Neodiprion lecontei: one gene and its partner. The protein of the gene in region 2 purifies or fractionates together with the protein of the main gene of each other region. This does not show direct contact. Links are inferred from orthologs where the notes say so. Each region holds a gene or a part of one and is shown on either strand. Other genes may lie near its edges. The genes, in order: ubiquitin-associated domain-containing protein 1 and E3 ubiquitin-protein ligase RNF123.

The links.
Region 1: the proteins of E3 ubiquitin-protein ligase RNF123 (region 2) and ubiquitin-associated domain-containing protein 1 purify together in Homo sapiens (affinity purification with mass spectrometry; 7 studies listed by BioGRID and IntAct, counting the BioPlex papers as one, with this or other methods). This does not show direct contact. The link is inferred for Neodiprion lecontei from reciprocal best matches to the Homo sapiens genes RNF123 and UBAC1.

The regions. Positions count from the first base shown.
Region 1 is NC_060261.1:28,609,305-28,616,566, reverse strand, and holds ubiquitin-associated domain-containing protein 1, read right to left. Parts: upstream 5,130-7,262; coding exon 4,945-5,129; intron 4,182-4,944; coding exon 3,988-4,181; intron 3,594-3,987; coding exon 3,433-3,593; intron 3,257-3,432; coding exon 3,045-3,256; intron 2,995-3,044; exon of another isoform or gene 2,973-2,994; coding exon 2,791-2,972; exon of another isoform or gene 2,603-2,790; coding exon 2,412-2,602; exon of another isoform or gene 2,126-2,411; coding exon 1,987-2,125; exon of another isoform or gene 1,896-1,986; coding exon 1,753-1,895; 3' UTR 1,631-1,752; downstream 1-1,630. Other genes in the region: uncharacterized protein LOC107225833, read left to right, coding at 1-558, 685-971.
Region 2 is NC_060260.1:40,200,990-40,210,140, forward strand, and holds the start of E3 ubiquitin-protein ligase RNF123, read right to left. Parts: upstream 6,415-9,151; 5' UTR 5,863-6,414; intron 5,358-5,862; exon of another isoform or gene 5,308-5,357; 5' UTR 5,281-5,307; coding exon 5,165-5,280; intron 5,082-5,164; coding exon 4,747-5,081; intron 4,349-4,746; coding exon 3,365-4,348; intron 2,898-3,364; coding exon 2,761-2,897; intron 2,702-2,760; coding exon 2,565-2,701; intron 2,507-2,564; coding exon 1,365-2,506; intron 1,277-1,364; coding exon 948-1,276; intron 852-947; coding exon 686-851; intron 600-685; coding exon 456-599; intron 309-455; coding exon 1-308. UniProt on the Homo sapiens protein: Catalytic subunit of the KPC complex that acts as E3 ubiquitin-protein ligase. Promotes the ubiquitination and proteasome-mediated degradation of CDKN1B which is the cyclin-dependent kinase inhibitor at the G0-G1 transition of the cell cycle.

The DNA of each region.
Region 1 (7,262 bases), on a different chromosome or scaffold from region 2:
CTTTGTGGATGAAATATATAGCGTCTAGTCTGTGCAAAATAAAATTAGCTCACAAAATCAAACATAGGTTGGAACATGTCGGAGAAAACAAAAGGAGGAGAACTTCGTCAACCATATTGTCTCTCAAAGTTCGAGACGAAGTTGATAGAAACTTTCCCGAACTTAGAGATATTTTATGGCTAAATGTCTTAGGTGAAATTCCCAGTTTCTTGACTGATATAGATTTTGTTAGAACAATCATTTCTAATCTGAATAGCAAATTTTCTAATCATTTCGTTGAACCACTTTTGGAACTGATAACACCCAGCATAAGGGATGACGTCAGGGAAAATCTTATTCATTTTATCAGTATTTATACAGCAGGGCAAAATATTGAAGACCAGACTGAATTAGTTGGTAACGAAAATGTCAAAACCATCAATGATTTTACTGCATTGTTTGAAGATCATATCAATGAAAATATCAGAAGTGATGAGCGATTGGAACAGTTCAATTTCGAAGATAATATTAAAATAGCAGATCTAACAACCAGAAATTCAAACTGGATACTTGAAAAAGGTACAGTTATTTTATCAACTACGAATTAGTATTTCAGTTTAAACCCAACCACCAGAAGAATATCTAACTATAGGAAAAATGGCATATTTCGTTCAGTTAACTGTAAAACAAATTTATTTTTCGTAGAAAAAAGTGTTGATTGGGGAAGTTGTCCAATTGGAATACTACCGTGGCAGTTGGATTCGATGGACACAGTGGATACAAGTTCGGTGGTCAATATAATAAGTGACACAGGTTCCAAAGATGTTGATATTGTACCAGGAATTATCAATAGTAAAAGTTTAATGATGAGAAGTAAAATAAATTGGAACAGCGTTTTGGGAAAAAAGAAGAGACCAAAGTGGAAAAAAAATCTCGGAAACATTGATAACATGGTCGATATGGCAATTCAAATTGTGAAGAAAAACTGTTGAATTCAAAACGTCCACTTCCGGTGTGTATTATGGACGTTTTTAACAAATTTATATTTCGCAACATGTTCCTTGCACCTAGTTTAATCGAATGTACACCGACTCGCAATGAAGTATGTAGAATTGCCAATAACAAATTTTCCGTAAAATGATTCGTCGTAGCTGAAAGATAGGGCACAAGTAGGTATGCATATGCACTTCCGGGAACTGAGTAAATGCTAATGATTTCAGACAGAGTTTATTTGCTTCAGCGTTTAACAAAGTTTTCTTTCGACATTGAACTTCGCTCGAAAAAAATAGTTTAAAATTATGCATGCCATTTTGAATTGAAATAGGTATATAAACTAGATCTTGAAGGCCCATTTTAATATAAAAATATATTTGTTGGTGTACGCGAGTATACATAATAGTTTGTATACCATTTCATATGCGTAATAGTAGCAATTATTACATGTAAAATTCGTTAAATATCGTTAGGAATAAATATCAAGCACTTTATATACTTTCCTCACAATGATAGTACCTTTTTTACTATTACATATCACTATTTGCTACTGAGTAAGTAACGAACGAATAGCATAAATACTTTAACGATAATTTATATTTTGTTTTAATATTGACTAGAATGAACTTTAACATGCCAGGCAGTTAATAACAGTAACTTATCTTCAACGTATCATGAATTATATTTAAAATTTTTTAAATTTGTACTAGGCATTATAATTCTTTTTTTTTTTTCATTTTTTTTCTGTGATTCTGAAACAGTTTCTATACTCTGCTACTGTTAGCTCTCAACAAAACGATTCATGTGAATAGCATGTTTTTCCGCATGGTAGGTTTTGAAAATTTGGCTCAACACTGGTGAAGCTTCTGGGTCATTTATCCAGATATTCGCTGACATTGGACTCTCTAGCATCGATAAGTATGCTGAAAGGTGTAAATTTTATTCTCAAGTATTTGGCATTCAGTAACTCTCGAATATAATCTCATAGAAAACGTCGTTTGTTTTTTGACTCACCTAGTAACATTTTTGGACTGGTGAGACTGAGTTGTATGTGAGGGTTTGACATAATTGCTTTATAAATTGGCCCGTCAGGGTCCAGGCCTTCGTCCAAATCTTCTAAGCTAGGGCGTCTCTCACCTAAGAGCCATTCGCACTGAAAATATAAACAACTCTTGAAGAATTTGACATCGATGGTAAAAAATCTGCTTTTGCTTTGACATTTAATGTGAATTTAAAACTCATTTTGGTGTTGACACACAAAAAAAAAAAATCACAATTATGCCAATGATCATTTTCTATGTTTTAATCGTTATGAAATTGAAGTTGAGTGTCAATAATATTTGTTACTAATTTTTCTCGAATGTTTTAGGTTAAACAAGAATTGATGAAAATCTTAAAATACTCAGTAATATAGTAGAATAGAAAATCTAGCAACGTACTGCATTTGGTTGATTATTTCCAGTGACTTTCAGTGCTTCTATGATTTTCTTCTCCTCAAACCCCATCTCTTGAAGTGAGGATATCACCCTCGTGTTTGGTTTGAAATCGAGTTTTTTGAACTGACGAAAAGACTCTAACAGCAGAGCGACGACGTTAATCAAGTTTGGCTCTCTCTTGGAACTCTGACTACCTGTTCAATAATTACCCAGCATTGAGTTGAGGACAATATTCATATTCTGAATAAATTATCGCCTCGAGACTTAATCAGAGCGAATTTTCGGTAAAGAGGAACGTATTAAATTCAACTTGCCTATGCGGTAAGAGTACATGCCATAAAGCAGTCGTAAGTTGAGCAAGTTAGCTAAACTGCAACATTACCTCCTTTGAATAAATCGACACATGCTTCCTTGAGACTTCTCCTTCTGCCCGAAGTTCCTGAGGAACTAGGTCCTCCTGTATCCACATCTAGGCTCGCGTCTAACGATGGTAGCTCAAAATCTTCTTCATCTGGATCATCTCCATGCTCTATGAGCCACTCAAGTGCTTCAGAAGTATTCATCCTTACCAATGATGAATAAACAAGTAAGGAAAAGAAATTTGCACATTCATGCAATGATGCTAATGTTACTTACTTCCTGAGCCGTAGAGCTTTCAATACTTTCTTCTCCGAGAAGCCCATATCCATGAGATATTTAACAGACTTGGGATCATTTGGCGGTTTGCATCTGGTCTCCCATCTTTCCCTAATTACTTCATAAATTTTAGCTGCTTCAGGACTATGATTTAAAATCTTTGCAGAAGTTTGGACCAGTGTGATGAGAATCTTTCTTATTTCATTCTGAAACTGTCCATGTTGTGCGTTTAATCATTGTATTTTACTCAATACTTATCATTAGCCTAATAATTATTAGCACACTTTCTTACCTCGATAAACTTTTCAAAATCTTTCTAATAAAACATAGTTTTCTAAGAATAAAACAATACTACAAAACTCATATTTTATCATTATGAAATATTTACATCAGCTGGGCAATCGGCACTGGGCGCAGGTCGTGATGGGTTTTTAATTGGAAGTCCTGCCGTGATTCGAGCTATCACCTCCTCACTGGGTCCTTTTAGAATCTCTTCTGTTAGATTTTCTTTTATTATAACTGGATGGATCTCAACCATCAGCAACTCATCTGAAACAAAAAATCACCAGAAATCATCGAAGGAAACTGACATTGAACCAGCCTCAATCATTTTCCAAAATTCGATTTTGCTATTGAAGTGAAACTTCTTTAGCAGGGATAATAACAGAATGTTGTAAAACGCGATGTTTTGAAACGCACTGCAATGAAATGTGCTGCTATGAAACGTAATGTTTTGACACGTACCACTATATAAAGCACTGTTATGAAACGCAAACTACACACAGGATTACCTATCCTCAGTCTCCTCTCTCTGTTACCGAGTTGTTGAAGCCATGGTGAATCACTTATATAAATTGCAGAAGTATCACTTCTGTTGCACACGTTTTTTTTACGTCTTTAGCAATATCCTATTCAATTTACTTCCAAATTTTGCGATACTCACCAAACTTTTCAATGCCCTCTTCCTCTGCTTTTTTTTCATCAGATAACGATTTTAGTTTTGTTGCATGAACTAATCTAAAGCATGATGAAGGCTTTGATGTGTCTTGTCCATAAAAGTGTTTAGTTGCGACTGCTTTAATTTTTTCTATAGTAAAGTCTGGCTTGATGTTGATGCCAAACACATGGCCCTCCAAACTGAAAATATTATTGTGGTGATTACGATCTGTTCCTTCATTCTTGAACATGACGAATGTACCTAAGTAATCTCTCAAATTTGGGTACATTAAACATAGCGGTTATTCTGCTCGACATTTAAAATTGGTGAACTTTATAATACAACCACCAAAACTTCTCTACACAATAATGTAGTAACTAGTTAAATGTTTAATATCTTTAACCTGAGTAATGATATTATTATATACAATATTTTCTGATACTTAATTCTATATAACTGTGAAAATCCTATTCAAAATCGCCAGGGCAATTGAGAAAATGGATATTAACCCCTCGCCGTACCATTTAGTTCGGCAAGATCTGAGCCCAAGCAATATGAGACGATGCGCGCTAAATAGGCTAGAGTGATGCTGAAAACAGCTGCAATATGAGCCTAATCTTCAGTCTACGTGTCTGACTCGTGATCTTCATGTTTGATACGAAATATGTATCACGAGTCAGATTCGTCAAAGTACGGCAGAGGGTTAAGAAAATTTAAATTCACATTTGTTTTTATTACATTCTATCTATTTTCTCATGTAGTATTTGTTAAATATTATTCTCTTTCAAATGTAATATAAAGCGATAATAGAAATAGTGGCAACTTGTACGCACATGGTGGCTTTTCACTGATTTTCAGAATATTGTTTTTAAACCGAAAGGAAGTAGAGTACACTTTTTCATAACTTCATAGTACGAGAGTGCATGGTCGAATGGTTTTTTTTATAGGTAATGAAATGCAAACCTGATAATGTTAACTGAGAAACTCTCAGGGATTGACTGTGGTGACACAAACATTGTAACACCTGAATTTCTAGAGGGATTTCCTGGGTCCGCAGAAGAGAGAGCCGAGGAGCGCCTCCCGGCTTCTCGAGAGCTCCGTCTGCTACTCCAGGCTTCCAGTATTTGTCCACGCATCCATGGAAACATCAAGTAGCCCTGGACAATAAAAAAACTAATACGTATGTTGTCCAATTTTTCGGGAGTTTAAAGCAGCGTTCGAATACACGTGTCTTTGATCACAGGGTAGTTCTAGTATTAGGTGATTTATGAGTGTTATTTTACATCGTCGTCAAGTCAGAGTTAATCGTTAATCCATAACTGACTATTCATTTCTCAATATGAAAGATTTAGGTTAAGCCAGATTAGAGTGCTCAAGTACGCGAAGTTGACATATTCCGGATACAGCGCGAGTGCAACACGATTACGCTAAATTTTTTACTTCCGATGGCAATAAAAATACCTTGACCTTAAAATTCTGGTAGTCGTTATTTTACCTTGAATATTTCCGTTCGTATTATTTTGACGTTTGCCCGCAACGGCGGCCATTTGCACGCAGTTTAAACAGTGTTGCCAACTCAGATTGTCATAATCCAGCTTGGGTCCTTGTGGCCTTGTAAAATCGCGCCAAAAACCGCCATTAATATTCATAATTATTCCAACAACTTTTCATTTGCTCTCTCGATCTTGAATTTTCGTAGGCATAGAATCGAAACGCTGTTTTAGCTAGTCGCAATTGAAGTATCTACGTTTGGTAGAGAAGCAGACTCGTTTTTCGAAAAGTGTTCGTATGGGAAAAAAATTCAGAGTAACTGTAATACATCACGGATGCGCTAATTTTGATCGAGATGACATGGATGCTCCGTATATGAGACAGTATTTAACGCAGTGTCCTGCTTTAAAGACCTAAAAAGGTGATTGTCGGCGATTTTTTTTTCTTTGATAGAGAGAGATAGAACGAAGCTTCTTAATACTTCGAGTGTATTTTAAAACACATTTGAAAGGTACGAGCAAAAGTTTTTATCATACAACTGTCGCAGAACGGCAGCGTTATTAGCTGACCCGTTGACTAAAGAATATATCTTTAGTCAACAGCTGACCATCGATGGGCCTAGCCGATTGAGTCTGGAATCGGCAAGGAAGATAAAGTGCGTATTTCTTGTCCGAAATGTAAGAACTAAAATCATTATACATCATATCTTATCATCATACGTCATACATCATACATCATACATAGTATTGAAGTTCGAAACCAAAGTTTGGATGTTCGGATGTTCAGAAAGTCAAAATTTTTTTTCTCTTGACGTCTTCAATCTATAGTGATCAGCTAGCCGAATTCCTCAGTCTGGAAACAACCGCGCGGTAGAGAGGACGTACGAGAATCGCGCTCCGCAGATTTCGAGTACCGGGTTCTTTACCTCCTGGATTCTGCGCTCCGGGTCCGTTTCGTGGCGCAACTCGAGTTCCAGGAGTAGCGCTCGGTAGTTTCTGTGCTCCAGGTCCGCTGCCTGGTGCTACTCGAGTTCCAGGAGAAGCGCGCGGTAGTTTCCATGCTCCAGGTCCGCTACCTGGTGAAACTCGACTTTCAGGACAAGTGCTCCGTAGTTTCTGCGCTCCAGGTCCAGTACCTGTTGAAACTCGACTTCCAGGACAAGCGCTACGTAGTTCTGACTGTCCAGGTTCTTGACCTGGTGACTTTTGACCTTCCGGACTAATTTTCAAGTTTACAAGTTTGATTATTGAAAACGTCATGTTTTGTACCATCAAACCAAAATGCATGTTTCAGATAACACTTTGAATCGGAAAAAACCGAGCGACCAGGACCAACAAATTGCAATTGGTGAGTGTTTGGCATTATATAGGTACATAGGAATAGATGAAAATAACGTCGTTCAATTAGAGCTAAAATTGCTGTGGTTAGTGTATCAGATCTGTTAGCACTTAGCTGGTTGTTCTGTGGTATTTTTTGTGGAAATTTATTATCATAAAATCACAATACGTTGTACTTACATGCATCTGTAAACGTGATTTGTAGTATTATATAGAAAAAATCTTACGAGCAGATTCGGTTTACGTCACATGCGCGAAGACGGTGTTCATTCTGTATACTGTGAAGCCAATACCAGAATTTTTTGGGGAGTCATCGTATCCCAGTCTCCCCTACAACTGTGTTATGTGTTAAAACACTGACAACGAGTAAGCGAGCGCACGAGCAGAAAAATCAGTTACACTAGGCATCCGACCACGAGCGAGCTTTAGCGAGCGAGTGTTTTAAAACTTGTT
Region 2 (9,151 bases):
CTTTTCCAGCAAGTAGTCACTAGTGAAGTCATGTAACAATTCCCCTTCAAGATCTGTAACTTGGTTTATGGTAGCTTTGCAAAAAAAACATTCTCTACTGTTCAATAAATGGTGAGCGATGCAGGCTCGGCATGAACGGTGATTGCATGGTTTGAATGTCGCAGAGATCGTATACGCGTAACAAATTGTACAAATATTCTCGTCGTCGGTCAATACTTTGGTCTCAGTTAACATTGTTCTATTCAAGTCCAAGTATCTGAGCATCTCCCTTACACTGTTTATCTCCTGTTCGGTGACGTCCTCTTTATCTAAAAAATGTCAATGAAATGTGATCAGTGAATTTTTCAAATTCTTTCACCAATTTGAAGTTACTAAGTCTTAAGGTATGTTTGAAACAACGGATTGATGAAAAATACCGAGCATCGAATATAGGCGTATTACTTAAAGTTACTCACAGTTTTGAAGGCAAAATGGCTTTATATTCTTGATCTTCTGATTCTTCGGTTTCAAGTCTCCGAGGATAAAGTAAAGCGAGCCAATTTGGAAGCTGGGCTCAGTAAGTAGGGCTCTAGTTACTTTTGGAATTTCTCTGCGTCCGGCTGTAAGTACAATATGCAGAGTGTGTCTACTGATGGTTTTCGATAGTTGATTAGCCTCAGTTCGTACTTTATATTTTAGCAATTACTTTTGAATGTTGATACGTCCTCCTTGAGCAAAATCAGCAGAATTCCAACAACTGCGGTAAGAATTGGGAAGTGGTCAACGGTTTCCAAGTCTGGAATATCGAGTAGCACAACGTGCTGAAAGCAACCGGACTGCGAGCTGACACGATTCAGTATTTGGCAGAGCAGCTGCGAGTGTCCAAACCATAAAATTAACGATTGAATTCATGCCTGTAGGGGATCAAGGAATAGGAGATGAAATATAATTTATTGACGGTGTATTACCTGGCACAGCCTGGCAAGTAGATTTTCACTGGAGGCTTGAGAATCGTCAGTAAAAACGCCGGGTGCCAGAGTAGCAATCATCTCCAGCACCCTCAGCAAAGAAATGGCCAGATCGAAGCAGGTTGCGCATATTTTAAGTTGGCGTGACTCGATTAGGACGCGTTCTGGTCTTGAAGACACGTTTTGGATCTCTTGCAGCATCCCAATGAACTCTGAGAAAGCCCAGTTAAGCTGGTTCAGAAGCGAGTTCAAAAACTGCGTCGTTGTTGTTGGATTTGACAAAAGAGCGTCCCTTACGTGAGCCTGGTATATCAGAGAAGGACATGGCTCTGTGGAAAAGAAACCGAAATGTGACGAAACTTTCTGACCAGTTCTTTATCAGCCATTCAATAATACGTACTATCGCTATAAACTTACTTATAGGCTGCGATATTGACTCTTGCTGAAGCATCTTGGGTCCGATCTTTTTCGCGAGATGTGGACTCTTCTCGTATCGGAAAGCGAATCCGCAGCCCTGCCAGAATCTGACTAATACCCAGTTGGACTGAGCCCAAGCTCTGTTCTCATAGGGCCGTAAAAGACTGTTTACGACTTTGACCCTCGACTCGATCGGGACTCTTTCGAGGGGTCCAAGAGTCAGAGAGTTTGAAACGTATCCTGCTAAGGTGAGGATGAGAGTGTCCTTTGCATTCGCGTGAATAATCCGTGGATCGAGGAAGTGATCACACAGGAACCGTGCAACCTCGACTAGCATCTCTTGATACTCAGGAATGTCTTCAATTGGGGCGGTTGGATGTACATGGTTCCTGATCCCAACACTGAGGTCGGTCATGGCCTCGAGGTAGAAGTCAGGCACGAAGCTGAACATGTTGCCCTCCTCACTCGCGGACGTTAGAGTCAAGGTGACCACTCTCAGCAGCCATGCAAGCTGCGCTTGTTTTTCCTTGGAGTAAACGGCCGCCCTGACCCACGCCATGTGCCTCGCCTGCTCGGCGAGCTTAGTGTCGAAGACTACCATTGTCCTTGCGAGTTCGCGGTTCATCGCAGCAGCATCGGGGTCCTTCGGCTGCTTCTTGGTAATCTCTAGACGAGCCTTAACTTCGGCCATTGCAGTGATGTACTCGGCCATGCTTTCACGAAGGCTGGCGACCTTAGCAATCTGTCTCTTCGCCGCGACGTGATAAAATAGTATTATCCCATCGAGAAGCTCTAGGAGGGACATTGCTGGGTTGGCCGGCCCCAGCCGCAACGGTGTCCTGTCCTCCCGGCTGTAAGGGAAGTAGCCAAGCCTTTCCAAGATCATGGGACTCGCCGGGCCCGACGAATTGACTGTCACCATTCTCGCAAAGGCAGGGATTGCAAGAGGAAGTTCACCTAAACGTGCTGGTCCACCGGAAAAAGGATTCGACGGATCTTGTGCCTGCTCCATTGCAACTAGCACCTCGTGTTCAGGACCGAGAAGATGCAGAAGCTCGTTCTTGTAGGTTTTGTTCAGGTGTGAAAGGACCCCACCGAGTCTGTCTATCCCCGCGAAATTTATAGACGCGTCGTAGAAGGCTCTGCGATAAAGAACAGTCTTAGAGTATTAATGCGATTCAATATATGGGGAGTTTTTACCTGCATGGCACGTATACTGGATGCGAAGCGATTTCTGCGTCCCACAGCACCCTGAAGGCAACCAGCAGCCGGTGGAAACAGCAAAGAGTAATGGGCAGCGGGGTCTGGAGCACCGGCATCGTCTGTAGGAATTCGGACTGAATGCTTGGGTTTATACAAGCCGCATTGCGGCGACTCGCTAAAAGCTCCGACTTACGCGACTTGAGATCAAGTTCTCTTGGACGAAGCGGCGAAACTTCTTGAGGAAGATTGTTCGCGACGTAGGCGAGTATGGAGTTCCGTCGTTGTTGTCCAATAGCGTGACAAGCAGCTCAACCTGAAGTGCCTCGACCTCTTCAAGAATTAAAGGATGACAACTAATCAGTCTTCATGCTATCGGTATAATACGGGGGTATCAAGTGAAACCATGTAACATTTTTTTTCTAGCCCTCAAGTGCATGAGTACGCTCATCGCGGAAATGGTCAATCACTATGCGTCCGTAGCCGTCTTAAGATGTTCAATAGAAACACCCGCATTCGCACAAGGGACAAGGGCAACTGCAGAAAACGTTGCCCATGTGTAGTGGGACTATATGCAAACCTCAGCTTGTCGATTTGATACCTGACCGACATCACCCGTCTAACAATCTTGCGAGTAGTCGCTCAGGTCCTCATCGATACGCTGAGGATTTGAACTAAAGTCCTCCCGTTCAGCAAGTCTCGAACGCTACGTGCTACGCTACTACGGTCGGTTCATCAAACTTCCCAAAAAGTGAAAGACCAGCAGCATCAAACACACTTTTCAACCGTTCTGAACATACCGGAAATAGCGCTCTTGATGCGGTCACAGGCGTGAAGATACTGCTTCCTATTGACTTCTACGGCCCCATCAACGGGGTCAGTTTCCCACCAAGTACTACCGACGACCTCTGCGAGTCCACTCTCATCCAGAGGCTTAACATGGACGAAGTTAGCAAAGCGAACCCTGTCGAAAAGGATGTGCTGCAAAAGATGTTGCCTCGTCGCAGTGTGCTGGCAGAGATTCGTTAGAAGAATCAGGCTCCTGCACTGGTCAGGATACTCGAGTTGAAGGGATACGTGCCGAAATGAAGAGAGAAGATAGACCACGGTGCTCTCAAGGCAGGACTTCATCTCTTCGTCCTCCAGGAACGTCCAAAGAAGATCGAGGCAGATTCGGACGCGACTCGAATCGGCACCTTTTGCCGGACTTTCGCCAGCGCCAGACAGCTCCCTTAGAAAGCGAACAAAGACGGCCTCTGTCACGTAAGGTATCGCCAAAAGTGGTCCTAGATTTTTGAGGATAGCTCTTGCCAGAGAGGCAAGAAAAGCGTTGCAGCTCATGGTCTCGGAGAAGGGCACTTTACCCTCTTCATCATCGTCATCTTCGACCATGGACTCACGTCCGTTATCGATCAGAAGTATCACCTTCCTGAGCCACTCGAACACAAGAATTGCTTTACTGACTTGATCGGCTGGGGATGCCTGAGGAGTTTCATATCCTTGAACCGGGTAACGCAGAGGTGTCGAGCCAAAGTTAGCCGTCAGATTTTCGGTGAACGCCAGGCTGACTGTGGGAAAGTAGGCCATTCCAGCACCCGTGCAGATCCCCCCGAACGCTTTTCCCATAGACCTCCCGTTTCTGTAGAATTCCACGTCTCCCTGGTCAAGGTCCAGAGCGCAGCCGATTATATCGCCGGAGAGCCAGGGCTCCCCATACTTGTGGGTCGTTACGTTCCATCTTCGAACCCGATTCCCATCGTAGGCATACGAGTTTATGGTGTCGCCTAAAAATCGTACGGAAATCGGGTTCAATTACAAATTGAAAAATAGACGCCACTGTCTTTCGCTGGCTCGCTAGACTCTCTCGTCGCCGTCGTCGCCGTATGATTACCATTCTGTCAGTATTGAGGAGTAAAACCGCCTCGACAAGAGCGACCGAGAGAATCTGACGGATGCTCGCGAGTAACAATTAGGGATATCGAGGACCGTGGACTATTTCACAAAGTTTGGCACTATAGCTAGCGACAAAGGTGGCGTAAAAGTAGCGTTATTCTTGCGTTTGCCAAGGTTGCCAACAATCGGTTATTTTGGATGTTCCTCACGAGAAGATCGCTATTTTCGCGTCGACTTTGCCGTTATAGCGTTAATGAACAAGCCCGCAGAAGAATCCCCGGGAACGCACCGACGCCTGACTCTTGGCTAAACTTGCACTGAGCCGTTCCCCAGCCCACCTGCATGACTCCCTTCGAGCCTAGCTGGAGTTCGTACATCCACTTGCCGGCGAAGAGACCGACGTTTGCCCTCATCGTGCTAAAGTTACTCTGAGAATTGACGCTCAATCTATCCGGAGATACGATGAAGAGACCGTGGTGCGTGGAGACGTCGAAACGCACAATTCTCGGCCCTATTCGACCGGGTCTCGCGTCTTCCTCTACCATTGACGATGAGGCCGACTCATTTTCACCCGACAGCACCATTTTCATGAAATCATTCGCCGTTCCAAGATACCGAACCACCCTAAGTTGTGTGGGAAAATATCATTAGCACAGAATATCTTTGTAAAAAGTGCATAGCGACATTTATTCATCGCGCATAAGTACCTCGCATATCCCGATTTCTCCGGAAGCTTTCCGCGATCTTTGGTATCCTTTGCCGCGCTTTCCTCGGCTAGCACACCTGGTCCAAATACGTTTCGAAGTATCTCTGCCATGTTCATTTCGTCACTCCGTTCGATCGTGCCGATCTGAATTAAATCGCTCCTTTGATCATTTAGGTAAAGCTGATCGTGAGATGCTGTTGATTATTGTACAGTTATTAGAGACTCACGATTCCTTATTGTTAGAGGAAAATTTCTTATAAGCAAAACACTAGAGTACGAAAAAACTACGCTGTAGTTACCAGATTTCACCGAAATTTTGCCAGTTTTAAAAACGCAACATTTACTTCAAGATGATTGTGCGGGGGATCAAGTCTGTTACTCTTTTTTAAATTTGTCACATTATAGATATGCGCTAAACCAATCGGAAAGAGTTCCCACGTATGCTTTTGAGATAAGCTGCATCTCATTTACTTGTTTACGCAACATTGAAATAACGAGAAATACGTTACCTACACAATATTATTTATTTTTTATTCTATAATCCCTAACACCGATGGACGTATAAATATTATACTATACTATTGCTCGAAGCACTGTGTACATATATTCGTAAAGCACTGTAGATTGCGTAAGCATAAGATTGTAGGGTCCTAAAACCTTAATGATTATAAATAAAAATCACAAGATAAAAACACTTGCCTAATTGAGGATCGTTGGAGTTCTCTTCATTCAGTTTTTGAATTATCTTCCAAAAACCTTATCAATTTGTCGATGTGTATTAGGTTCCTCGTGTCAACGGCTACTCGTTAATTGGCATCCTTTTTTTACGTTAATTACTTTCGGATTAGAAAAGCTCATGTAGGCGTAATCGGAGGTGTTTCAACGCCGGTGTTTGTCCGTGATGCTTTTCCGGCGGAATAATTTACCGCGATTTGGGCAGCTCGCGCGTGGATGATTTTGCCACCATTTTAGCTCAAGGTGACAGCACACGAAAAACCGAATATAAAAAAAGAAAAATATCTCGGTCGTAATCACCAAACGTCGAAACGCTCATGCGCAAATCGTTCTGGCGCCGACGCGCCCGAAATTATTTGCAGCTGTATGGATATATTCCAAGACGCATGCGTACCTTAGACCTCTTGGTAAAACGCACTGTTTCACTTTTGAATTTTTTCTGCTCTCACCCGCATGATATTCTAGATACGAAAATACGATACGATTTATCAATTACGGTAAAGAAATTTCGTTGTTTAGTTGGACACGAATGAAATGATAATTCTTTGAGAAAAAAAAAAAAAAATGTCTTTCGACAATTTTTAAAATCTACTAATGCTTTTCGTATACAGCTGGCAAGTGTGAAAATCAAAATACAACTCACTACTTCTCTGGTTGAGTAATCCATATAGTCTGCGTACGTTTGTTTATTATAATTATTTCTGGCTTTGTTATTACCACTATCCATAGTATTGTTGTTATTATTATAACTATAGTTGACGAGGCTTATGATAATCGTAGGGATACAAGTATGTACGAATATGGTGCATAATAACATATATAAATATAGATTAGGTTTTCTCACTTTCTTAAAATCATCAACACGATGTATAATAATTATAGTAACTGGATCATGATGATAAAATTAATTTACTTAAAATCAATGCGGTTTATATTATATGCGTATGTAGTTTTAATCACAATTAAAACAATTCAAGGTGTGTAGAAAAATGACTATACAGAGACGATAATTATTAATCAAAATTTATGAATTATTAAAATATGAATATTATAAAGACTTTTCGCAGAACCGATAAACCAGCCTATAACACATCGAGTCTTTATTGGTTTTGGTAATGATCTTGACGAAGGGATGAAAAGTAGGAAGGGTATAAGGGCTGTGAATGAGTGAGAATGAGCGGGTCTGACTTTGGTATGTTTTCAACCAGGATTGGTCATCAGTTCTTGCACCCACGACAATATTTATACAATTAATAATAATTATTCAATTTAAAAACTGTAATAGTATTAATAATAATACATGTAACGTATTTTCGTATGCAAGTTATAATTATCATTAATTATTAATGTAGCTATTGTTAATTTAGACACAACTAGTAATTAGTTGAACCTTATTCAATTGCTTGACTGAATAATCAATAATTATTGAGTAATTAATTAGTCAATGAATTAACTAATACACTTTTCGTGAATATACTTACAAGTGTAGGCGATTACGCTGTATACGATACGAGTATAGGTACTGTGATTTGTGTTATTAAGGATTATTAATGTTATTACGTTGTTTATCAGAGGGCGGTATGATTATAGTATAATGTAGCTGTTGTAAGACAATATAATAATAATGATTCGTTTAATGACAGTACGCCAATATCGCGACGCCCACTATTGTTATACAATTAACTAATAGTTTATAGTGTACGGTATACGGAGTATATTGTGTGGCATTCTTAGTACTCGAGAAGCATGATAAATGTCTGAAGAATTTTTAGTAAAATTTATGAGTATACATTTTCGTAGGCAGAAAAATGTTATTGCAATTTTGAAACTCTAGATCAGCGAATTATTGTATATATTATATTTCGATGACGTGACTGTCTATGTATTACGTTATCACAGGGACGAATTGAATGAGTGCTCTGACATTTCACTGTAATTTCCCCCTAGACTATAACCGGCATTATAATCGTCGAATTTTTCAATGCTACATTTCCACATATCGAACGTATTACTCCGCATCGAACATTGCAGCAATTACGTATACAAATACTTATCTACTTCTATCTAGCATGTATTATTCCTAGGGACTATTATACTAATTGTAAGTATAATATTTGTGCGTGATACGCTTAATCTCTTTATCCTTATTGTTTTTAGCCTAGAGGCTGACTTATTACACAGAATTTCAGTAAAACGCCGCATCACAGTCACACGTGGCATTTTCCGTACGGAATAGAAATATTGAGTACTGAATTTGAATTTCAATCTCTCATTTATAAAACATACAAAATATACATACAATTTCAATTTTTAATAAAATTGTACAATTAAAGCGGAAAATTTTATTACGGTAATTGCAGCAGTGCGCAAAAATTTGAGTAAAATTGTTTCAATTCTTTTTTTTTCATCCAAGGTAAGAAAGATTAAGTAATTTGTGACCGTCATGTGGTAGTTTAACGAGACTCTGTATGATTTACCACCAAATGGAGCCGTGAAGACTCTTGATCCGTTTTTTGTGTCCCTGTATCGATTGAGATCTTATCACGACATTGATAAAACTTTTTACTTATTGTTAAAATACGAACGCGAGGGTAATTATCTACTCCTCTATCCAAGAAATTAAGGAACATCAAACGCGTCTCAACTGAGAATATGATATAATAATATCCATAGATTTCATAGCACATTTTAGGAGGTGTCAAAAATTCTCCCGTAGTTGTGCATAACTAGAATAAAAAACTCGAGTCAATTTTGTAATTTACACATCTGACGTAGGTATTATTTTTCTCTTCTCGACTTGAAGACGATTTACTTGAAAATTTTTCATGATCCTATACTAATTGGCCAACTTGGTATTGACGGGCACAATAATTTGGAACTTCACATGACAAATTATAATAGTGTTTTTTATCTGAATATATCACAATTTGATGCACTGGTTCTTTAGAAAAATAGTTCGTATAGATAGTCACCTTGAAGAATTTCGTCTGGGAATAATTATAATTGAAACATTTATGCCACGTGAGTTTTTCTCTTGATTACAAGTACCGCAGCATCTACTTGAATAGTATAAACTATTGCCCTTCATTACAATGCCAGCCAATTATTAACCACTCAGCGTATACTAAAAGTAATTTAACGAATTTGCGATAAAATAAATCTTACATCTGAAATGCAAATTCGTTTCAATAACGTATTAATAACGTTACTACATATCAATATAAGTTCGCATATTATGCATAATAATATAACA